2 linked regions of the Saccharomyces cerevisiae S288C genome follow. The protein of the gene in region 2 interacts with the protein of the main gene of each other region in a pairwise test. Each region holds a gene or a part of one and is shown on either strand. Other genes may lie near its edges.

Evidence for each region.
Region 1: the proteins of CNM67 (region 2) and YPL216W interact in a two-hybrid assay, tested with the Saccharomyces cerevisiae proteins (one large-scale study listed by BioGRID).

Annotation. Positions count from the first base shown.
Region 1 is NC_001148.4:142,145-147,794, reverse strand, and holds YPL216W (uncharacterized protein), read right to left. Parts: upstream 3,975-5,650; coding exon 666-3,974; downstream 1-665. Other genes in the region: CBP3 (Cbp3p), read right to left, coding at 1-379; GTPase BMS1, read left to right, coding at 4,624-5,650. UniProt on the Saccharomyces cerevisiae protein: May be required for the activity of an ISWI chromatin-remodeling complex.
Region 2 is NC_001146.8:222,150-226,605, forward strand, and holds CNM67 (Cnm67p), read right to left. Parts: upstream 2,321-4,456; coding exon 575-2,320; downstream 1-574. Other genes in the region: JJJ1 (Jjj1p), read right to left, coding at 1-282; SQS1 (Sqs1p), read right to left, coding at 2,647-4,456. UniProt on the Saccharomyces cerevisiae protein: Involved in the pathway that organizes the shaping and sizing of the prospore membrane (PSM) during sporulation. Required for the proper formation of the spindle pole body (SPB) outer plaque.

The sequences.
Region 1 (5,650 bases), on a different chromosome or scaffold from region 2:
GCTCTTTACAAATTTTATAATAGTAAGATCCTGCAACGGGCCCTGCCCTCACTCTATCCATATCTAAATGAAATGCTCGAATTACTAGTTCACCCAAGGCTTCTTTCCATTTGGGAAGTTCGTACTTTGACGATTCATATTTACTATGAGCTAGAGGAATTTTATTCTGAGCAGTTTTCACTGGTGCTTTATTGCTTACATCTAGTGGTTTCGAATTCAGATGTGAGCTTTTTGCTAAAAGCTCTGGCGAATCTTGTGCAGTTTCTTTATTTTGCTTGAAAACACATGTTTGATGCAAATAAGCTCTCGAGTAGTAAAAAGGGGACTTTCTAAGGAAAACAGGGAGTCGACCTGAAGTAAATCTATTGACTGACATCATCAAGTGTTGGAATAGCTGAAGAGATTGTTACGGAGATCATAGTGTTTGCTAAATATTAATCTTACTAATGCGTCAGTCGAGGACCAATTTTGACGTTGTTTTCCTTGCTGGCTATAAATTCAGAAGAACGCCGGGTAAAGCCTAAATACAACTCCAGTCAGACGCCCTGAAATGGGCCAATTTATATACGAGGAATAATGAATGGTGAAGATTAAATAGTAAAAGATATTTCTAATATCTTTCTAAGGCGTATACAGGAAGAGTGATTTGAACTGCAGAGTTGTTTCTAGTTGCGTTCTTCATCCTCTCGTCGTCTTGAAATAAGTTGACATTCAATCTCCTCTAATATACCCTGCACATCAAGATGTGCAGCTTTATCTACTCGTTGAGAACTTATCCCATAGCCTGAAACATGACTAATATGCTTATACCTCTGATGATTTAAAAGCTTCGTAAGAATATCCTCTTGCCTTTTTCTTTTCGTTTCAACTATAAATTCGAGGTCTATCGTCCTCAATTGTTCGAAATGAAAATTCAAAGGATAAATCAAATTTTGTTGCTTTTTGAGAAGTGCTCTTTCACATTCTCCAAGGTGAGCTACGTCTTTTAAAATCGCTTCCAAAACGAGATCATTCTTTGTCCTTGATAGTTTTTTGGAAATTTTCTCCATGTTGGAAAAATGTTGGCCGTTGGATGTACAAGTTGTCTCAATTCTTTTCAGTTCAGGAAACGTGAACTCGTTATTTTTCAAAAGTTTGTGATTTTTTTTGAAGGTTTCATCACATTCAATACGCCTTTTAATTTTGAACTGTTGCTTGTATGATACTTCAATACGGTCCATTTTGGATGTCAAAGCTTTCTTCAATTGTCCCTCATTTTCTCTTAAATCATCCAACCTATCTACTAACATATGTATATCTTCTATATCGTTGAAGAAAGCCCATTGATGATGAGAGAGTAGGAGCTTTTCTGGAGTTTCTGATATAATTTTTTTGTCTATGAATGCCGGAATAGTTGGCCTCATTAAGATACCGTTTGAATTAATTATCATGAAATTCTCACCTTGAGCAATTTGATAGTAAGACCCGTCTGTCGACCTAAATATTGAAAAGACTTCTTTTGTCGCGTAGGCAGTACCTTTTGCTTTAGCTAACAACTCCCATTTTTTCAAAGATTCGACGTCGACATCTAAGCAAAAGTTTATATCCGCTTCAGAGGGTCCTTGAACCCACAAAAAACAGCAGTTGTAAAGTTCCTCATTTTTTTCACTGATGGCTGATGACGATCCATTTGAGTCCATCCAATAATATCGATTTCCATTTCTATCTTTACCCAAAATCTCTAGTCTCTTGATATCGCTCTGAATCAATTTTGCCTCTAGGAAGGCGATATCTTCCATTAAGTATGCAATTTTCACTTTAAGGGCATTGACCTTACCTTTACATTCATCTGATCCATATCGGTTCATTGAAACGTTGCTGTGAAGCTTCACGCGATTTTTGGTTAACGTTTTTAGTTGCCGTTTCAATTTGATATACTCTTTTTTTGCACTATCCAACTTTAAGCGGATTCCATTGCACAGTTTTGGTACTTTATCTACCAACTCCTTAATATAACTCGAGAAATTGGACGCAAAATCTACGAGAACCCATAAAACATCAATTTTATCTTTTATAGATAATCTCTTGCGAAAGTTATCCCAGAGCTCATCACCTAAATTTACAAAATTCATGGATAAAGGTAGTATTTTTTTTGTGATACATTTTGCGACATCACTATATGCTATCATATGTGTATTCTGTTGCAAGATTCCAAGGAGACAGATCAACCAATTGCCGTTGCTAAAGTTTTTATTGTGCAAAAGTTTAACCCAGCTAGTATCTCCATAGTTCAAACACTTTTCTATAGCTATATCAATTTCTGTTTTATTTCCTTCCTCCTTTCGCTTTTCTTCAGTCCAATTGTCCATCAGATTACAATTCCAATCAGGTTCATTATCCGTCATCAGACACATTAACGAGCAAACTATATCAATGTAAAGTATATTCACTTTTTCGTACGATTGAAACTCCATATCGTCATTTTTTAGAGGCTTCCCTTTAAAAATGGAATACATTACAAATTCAGTACTTTTATCCGTTATAAATTTCCTCATTTTCTGGTTTCTGGTGAAATTGCTAGGTATTCGTTGACTCTCATCTGCATTAAAGACGTTAGCCTTCTCACGCTGGGATACGTTACTACTGGTCACTTGATTATATATTTCGTTTCTTGGCTTCTCATTTGTGAAACTCCCTTTGCTGTTGTAAGTTTTAAGAAAGTTTATTTTGACATATTCATCTACTAAAGCCTCCGGACTAGTACACTTGATAGTAGTAAGGAACTGATCAAAATTAAAATGTGATAGACCAATAAAACGTCCAAAAAAGCTCAGGAATTGATAAACAACCAATAGTCGTTCCGTTGGAAATTGACTGCACTCTTTGAACCATTTTTGATCGATATTCTTATATTCTAAGGAGCTATCTAAGTAGCTGATATTTTCAAATGGTATCGAAGGCCCAGTGAATGGAAGCTCCTTGTCGTCGACGGTTCCCTTCAAATCATTGTAGGCAAGGGAGTTCACATTATCGTAAATGTGGTCAAATGAGACTGAAATCTCGTCGTCAATTGCTTTTATTTTAGATAGTGACGTTTCCGACGTTTCCGACGTTTCCGACGTTTCCTTCCAGTCAGCAGGTTCAACATCGCTCTCTGGTGGTATAGTAAGAGGAGTGTAAAGCTCGGAAGAAGATGAGTTCATTCTATCCGGCAAATAATCAATCATATTAGGAGAGCATTTAGGGTTTACATCATATCTTTCTATATATTCTTGTTTCACCCTCCATGGTGCGTGCTCCTTATTCGATACTTTTATGAGTATTTCATTAAGAAAACACGCAATTATGAATTTAGAAAAGTGTGATTCTGGCCTTTTAATTTCATTCTGGCCTACAATTAGGGCCGCACCTTTAGATTCTCGATTCAGGCATTCTGTGATTAAATACAGTGACAATTTTGGGGCAGAAATTTCTCCCTTTTCACTTTCCATCATCCCGTTAGATTGAAACACATCCTTGACAAGGAACAACGTGACATTGTTTTCAATAGTTGGTGATTCTACCAAGTTAGGCTCTCCTTCTTTATAGGTAATCAATGCATTTTTTTGGATAGTTTTCAAGCACACCGTATCGCCTATAAAGAAACGGTTACTAAAACGCTGAAATGCGCTTTCTACAAGGTGTCCTACCTTCCTTATCGGACTGAAGTTTGCGAAATTTGCTATAGCCTTCCTTAGTTCTTTTGGTAAAAGATATCTGACCTTTTCACGGTGCTGTTCTTCGCTTTTTAACGCCTTGAAATACGAAAGGCCATCTTTTCCACTAATCTCACAGGTGAATATATCCCTTTTGTAAAAATCTAGCTTTTTTAAATCACTGTCATAATCATTTATACGCTCGCTACTTTCTTTAATCACCCATGGAGTTTCAGAGAAGGAATCAGCAGACTGTCCTATTTCCTTAGGTTGTATTTTCCTTCTGTTAAGCAGAACCATTTTTGCTTTGAATTTAAAGTACGGCTAGAAGAAGAGCCAAACTAGGGATTGCGATTTTTACTGAATGAAAATGATTGTCTCTCTTACTAAGTCTGCTAACATTTATCAGGTTCATAATGTTTACTATTGAAGTGGCGCGTTACAAGAAAACAAGTCATCCCATATTGAAATGACAACAAATAGAAAAATACACATAATTCCATATCGCTAAATCACACTATCATATACAAAATGGACCAAAGTAAACAAATGTCGATTCATGCAAGTATTGTTACATATCTTGTCACTTTCTCTTCCAAAAGTTGAGGATAGCTGTAAAGGTGCATTTGCTAAACTCTCAGAAACTGCTGGTCCTAAACAATATCAAAACAAATATCAGATAGGTAAGCTTAGATTATTTTAAGGACATGTGAGCCATAGTGCAGATACTCGTACTACTGTTGTAAATATTTCTGTAATTTCAAAGTTGAGATTATCTAGATGAAGTTTTTTTTTTGTTATCGCCTAAGTTTAATGTCCGTACAAATGAAAAATTTTCAAGGCGATGAGCTGAAGTGAAGCTTCAAAATTAAGGAAAGTATTTGCGCTGTTAAGGTAAAAATATCACATAATAGTAGCCTTTAATCAGCCATCTGAGTTATCTGAAACGATGGAGCAGTCTAATAAACAGCACCGTAAGGCGAAGGAGAAGAATACAGCAAAAAAGAAGCTCCATACGCAGGGTCATAATGCAAAGGCCTTTGCCGTGGCAGCCCCAGGTAAGATGGCGAGAACTATGCAAAGGTCAAGTGATGTGAACGAAAGAAAACTGCATGTTCCTATGGTTGATCGTACCCCTGAAGATGATCCGCCTCCATTTATCGTCGCTGTCGTGGGTCCACCTGGAACAGGAAAGACTACTTTGATTCGGTCCCTCGTCAGGAGAATGACAAAAAGCACTTTGAATGATATTCAAGGTCCTATTACTGTTGTCTCTGGTAAACATAGAAGACTAACTTTTTTGGAGTGCCCTGCGGACGATCTGAATGCGATGATTGATATTGCTAAGATTGCCGACTTGGTTCTTTTACTAATTGACGGTAATTTCGGTTTTGAAATGGAAACAATGGAATTCTTAAATATTGCTCAACATCACGGTATGCCAAGAGTACTTGGTGTAGCTACACATCTTGATCTGTTTAAATCTCAGTCAACTTTGAGAGCTTCTAAGAAAAGATTAAAGCACAGATTCTGGACGGAAGTTTATCAAGGTGCAAAATTATTTTACCTATCTGGTGTGATTAATGGAAGGTATCCTGATAGAGAGATTTTAAACCTTTCACGATTTATATCTGTTATGAAATTCAGACCATTAAAATGGAGGAACGAACATCCCTATATGTTGGCTGACAGATTCACAGATTTAACTCATCCGGAATTAATAGAGACTCAAGGACTGCAAATCGACCGCAAAGTCGCTATCTATGGTTATTTGCACGGTACTCCTTTGCCTTCTGCTCCGGGCACTAGGGTGCATATTGCTGGTGTTGGTGATTTCTCAGTAGCACAAATTGAAAAATTACCAGATCCATGTCCCACACCTTTTTACCAACAGAAACTGGATGATTTTGAACGTGAAAAAATGAAAGAAGAGGCAAAGGCTAACGGAGAAATTACAACTGCCTCTACGACAAGAA
Region 2 (4,456 bases):
TGTGACTGTAGCGTCTACCTCATAATCATAGTAATCATCAGTGCTTGGTGGAGTATCATTTAAAATTTGTTCCTTATGTGAGTCATACCATGCTCTTTCCTGGGGGTCAGACAGTACTTCATAAGCGGCTCGAATCACAGCAAATTTTTGTGTGGCTTCTTCAACATTATCTGGGTTTTTATCTGGGTGATATTGTAGGGCCTTTTTACGGTAAGCTTTTTTTAACTCAAGATCAGAAGCATGCGTTTCGACCCCTAAAAGCTCATAGTAGCAGGTCTTCATCCGTTATTTTTGAAGTAGTAGGATATCACTATACTGATATTAACTCTTGGCTGGTCAGACTTTTACTATGTAAAAAGAGCTACTTTGCGATGACTTCAAATTTTTTTCACGTATATTTTTTTTCTATTCTTAAAACAAGAAAAAGTGTAAACATAAAATGTTGGCCGCTTAAGCCCTCCAATTTTACAACAAATGAATATTTTATACATACTTCCTAGAATATAATTTAATCTTATACCTTAATTTTTAGTTACAATTACAACAATTTATCTATTGACTCCGTTAATAAAAATTACTTCACCATCTTCTCCAGGATATGATCATACAGATGGTCCAGACACCTCTCCAAATGGTGATCTATGGAATCCATCCTGCGCGTTGACATAAAATCATAGTATGCTTGATCCGTAAATTTCTTTAGATTCATTTCTTGACTATATACTTGTCTATGCAGACGTTGAGCAAAATTGGACAGCATGATGTTTTCATATTTCAATTTGATAGCCAGCAACGGAATCTTTCGCCTTAACTTTGGATAAGGAATACCAACAGCCAAAACAATTTCTTTGACAGTATTTTGTAAAGTCGTCAAATTTGCTGAATCAATTTGTTCAACCATAAGGAAATTACATTCTTCTGCCGAAATATCGGGCCTTGACTGTAAGATATTTTTTATTGTAATCCTTTCAGAAGTATTTCCCTCTAAGTTTCCAAATCGCGACCTCAAATTATCCAGTTCCTTTGATAGAGTGTTTGTTTTCTTTTCAGCATCTGCTAGCATTTTTTCTTTATCCTTCAATGATGTTTCGTATTTTTCTTTGCTTTTTTCCCATGATCCTAGTCTTTCATTCAACCTTTCCAGCTTAATTTTTATTTCCTCATTACATCCTTTCAAAATTTCCTTCTCATCGATTGTCAACTTGTCAAATTTATCACATAGTATTTTGTTCTGTTTGGAAAGGGTTTTATTTGTACCAATTAAAGTATTATTTTTTTCTCTCATGGTCTGGATTTCAATTTTTTTATTCTCTAACTCATTTCGGAGATCCTCAGCTTCTGCTTTTGCATTTTTAAATCGCTGAGAAATGCGGCTCAGCTCTTCTTGCTGTGATGCACATAAAAACCCTTTAATATTAGGATATTTTTCTTGTAATATGTGATCTAATTTTGAAGAATTTTCCTCCGAGTCATACAAATCGAAAAACAATATACCAATCGGTATTTCAAACAGCTCGGCCTTTCTTAAGGAGTCAGTGAGACTTAGTAATGCAGTGTGTTTTGTCTGAATAGTATCATTGGCTTTTTCCAACATTTCTTTATTCAGCGAAAGGTCCTTTGTTAGGTTTTCAATCAATACTGTCTGTTCTTCAATTTTTTTTTTGTTATCTAAGGTTTTGTCGTTTGACTTCGTAGCTGCTTCGAGCTCCTTTTGTAAAGAGTTTGCTCTTTCCTCTTGTCTTAGATTATCTCTACCCAATTCAATAACTTTTTTTTGATACCCCAGTATCACATTTTCTAACATTCGAAAATCCTCTTTCGATAAGGAGTTTTGTAGAAAAATTTTGGCACCGTTACAGTCTTCTATCGAGATATCTGGCGATGTATGTTCATCAGTTGGTTGAGCAGAAGCCTGTTCATTTGCCCTCGTAAAATGCTTCGAAGAGTTTTCTCTAGGAGTAGAGTGTATGAAATTGGGTACATCCTTTTTATGAACATCAGTACCTATGGGAGACTTATCTTTTTCGTTTTTTGGTCGTTCTTGTAATCCTGGAGATTCCTGATAACTAGTATTTCTAGCATAATTCATTTGATCCATAGATGGTGATTTGTTCTCTTCATATGAGTCTCTAGCATTGGAAAAGTTGCAATTGATGACATCTTCAGGGTTAACGAATAAAGGTAAGATGGATTTTCCGACATGATTTTCATTTAGCCAGTTTTGTGGGATTGGCTCTCCGTCTTTAATTTCCCCATTCTCTGATACAGGAGAATCCAAACGCTCATGAAATGGAAAATTCATTAAATCGAAATCAGTCATGATGTACAAAAGACCTGTCACTATTTACTAGTGATTATTTTTTGTATGTGTAGATTTCTTCCCGAGGAACGTTAACGTTATTAGTTGTTTTATTACTATAAACGTTCCACAAAAAATTGCCTAACGCCTCACGTCGCGCAACGCGAATTTTCACAAGAAGATGTTATTTACAGTTACGATAATTGAATTGGATATGTAACGAGAAGTTGTACCTAAAACTCCGTATGTGTATATTACCATAGATTTTTCATGGTCTAGTCTAGAAAATAAAAAAATATGTATATACGCAATTGTTAAGAAAATGAGGATTAAAAGCTTGGAAAATATTAACTTTCACTGTGTCTTAAACCCGATCTATTCTTTTTAATTTTGGCAAAAATTGGTTCACTTATACCTTTATTGCCTTGAATACCAAGGCCCTCTCCACTTTTCCACCCAAGCTTTTCCAACATTCTTCTACCGATATTTTCGTTTCCAATCTCTGGAGCGTTTTGACCAACAATCTCACCTTCTTTAACATGAAATTTCCCTCTGATTGTTTTAGTTCTTTCGAAAGCAGCTTGTTCCTCCCTCGGTCTTCTTATATCTATTCTCATGAATACTGGCCTCTGCCTCATCAATTGGTCAATGAGACTATAATTCGGAGAAGACCATTTCGTTTTCTTTATTTTTTCTACAACAACCGACGTATGATTTGCTTTCCCAATTTTTGAACTCTTCATATTATAATGCTTCGCAATTTTCATTACGGTCTTGTTTCCATGAGGATCTAATGGAGGGAAAGTCAGTCTATCATTGTTCCTAGACAAAAAGGACTCAAATTCATCTTTAATATTTTGAATATGGAGTCCATATGGGTATTTCTTGAGCATATCGTTCGAATTTCTATTCTCCTGATCAATGAAATCTTCTTTGGCTTTTCTTTTCTTTGCTTTGGTTTCTATGCGTTTACTAAACTTACTTTGTAACGTCTCCAACGTTTCTGTATCCAGCGCTAAGGCGTCATCGATGAGTAGCTTCTTCTTCTTACCTTTACCCTTAGTTTCCAAGGACTTGGTTTCAAATGTTTTGAATCTTTCTGTATCATGTTTCAATGTGTATGCAATTAGGTCGTCCAGACCCTCTTCAATGTCGCTATGCACAACCGAGGAGGCCATATCTTCATCATCTTCATAGCTGTCGCCTTCATAGCTGTCACCTTCATCACTCGAATCAGAAATCGGAATATCTGAGTAGGTTGGCTCAGCTGGTTCAATTTTTGGTATAAGAGAATTTTTAATAAAATTCAAATATGCAGGTAATCTATCTTCAGGAAGACCTAACTCGTCTACAACGAAGTCTGTGAGTAAGTCCTGGTCAATCCAATGAAAGTCGTAATCTCCCAGTAATCTGTAACACCGTAGATAATATGAATTGTCTACTCCGCCCATTCTTATATTGGAGACCACTATGTCATTAGTATTTATGACAAAATCTTCTTCTTTGAATCCAAATTCTAACTCTTCGCTAGCAGGAGATGGCAGATTATCATTATTGCCTTCGAATGTTTTGGTACCATTTATTGAAAGACATTTTATATCTTCTGTCAACTGCGGACTAGGGCTTGGTAAAAGATTGTTGTCAGCTCGGGAATTGTGACGTTGGCCAACATAATTAAACCCTTGATCAACCTCAGAACTTGCTGAGGATTCGTATAAAGGTTCACTATTATTCTCTGTTTCTATTTCGTAGTCTAGTTCATCATTGTCCGAGTCGCTAGTATGCATACCATGTAATACGTTGGAAATGTAACCAGCAAATGGATGATATGTCTTATTACCCTTATTTGGAACGTCAACACTAATTTCCTTGCTTTCGTTACCTTCGGAAACGCTAAGTTCAACCTTTCCAATTGTTAAGATAGGATCGAACTCTATCGCAACTTCTCTTGGCCTTGCGATTTCCTCGATACATACTCTTTTTATTTTGGTTAGATCCGGCGATTGCTGAGCCTCTTCATCTACAAAAAACAGGTCACCATCTTCAACTTTGCTTTCATTCGAAGACAGCGAGTGGTCCGTCGAGGGTGAATTCTGACTATCATCATCCTCGTTTTCACTGTCTTCATTGTTAATATATTCAACATCAGAAGTCATC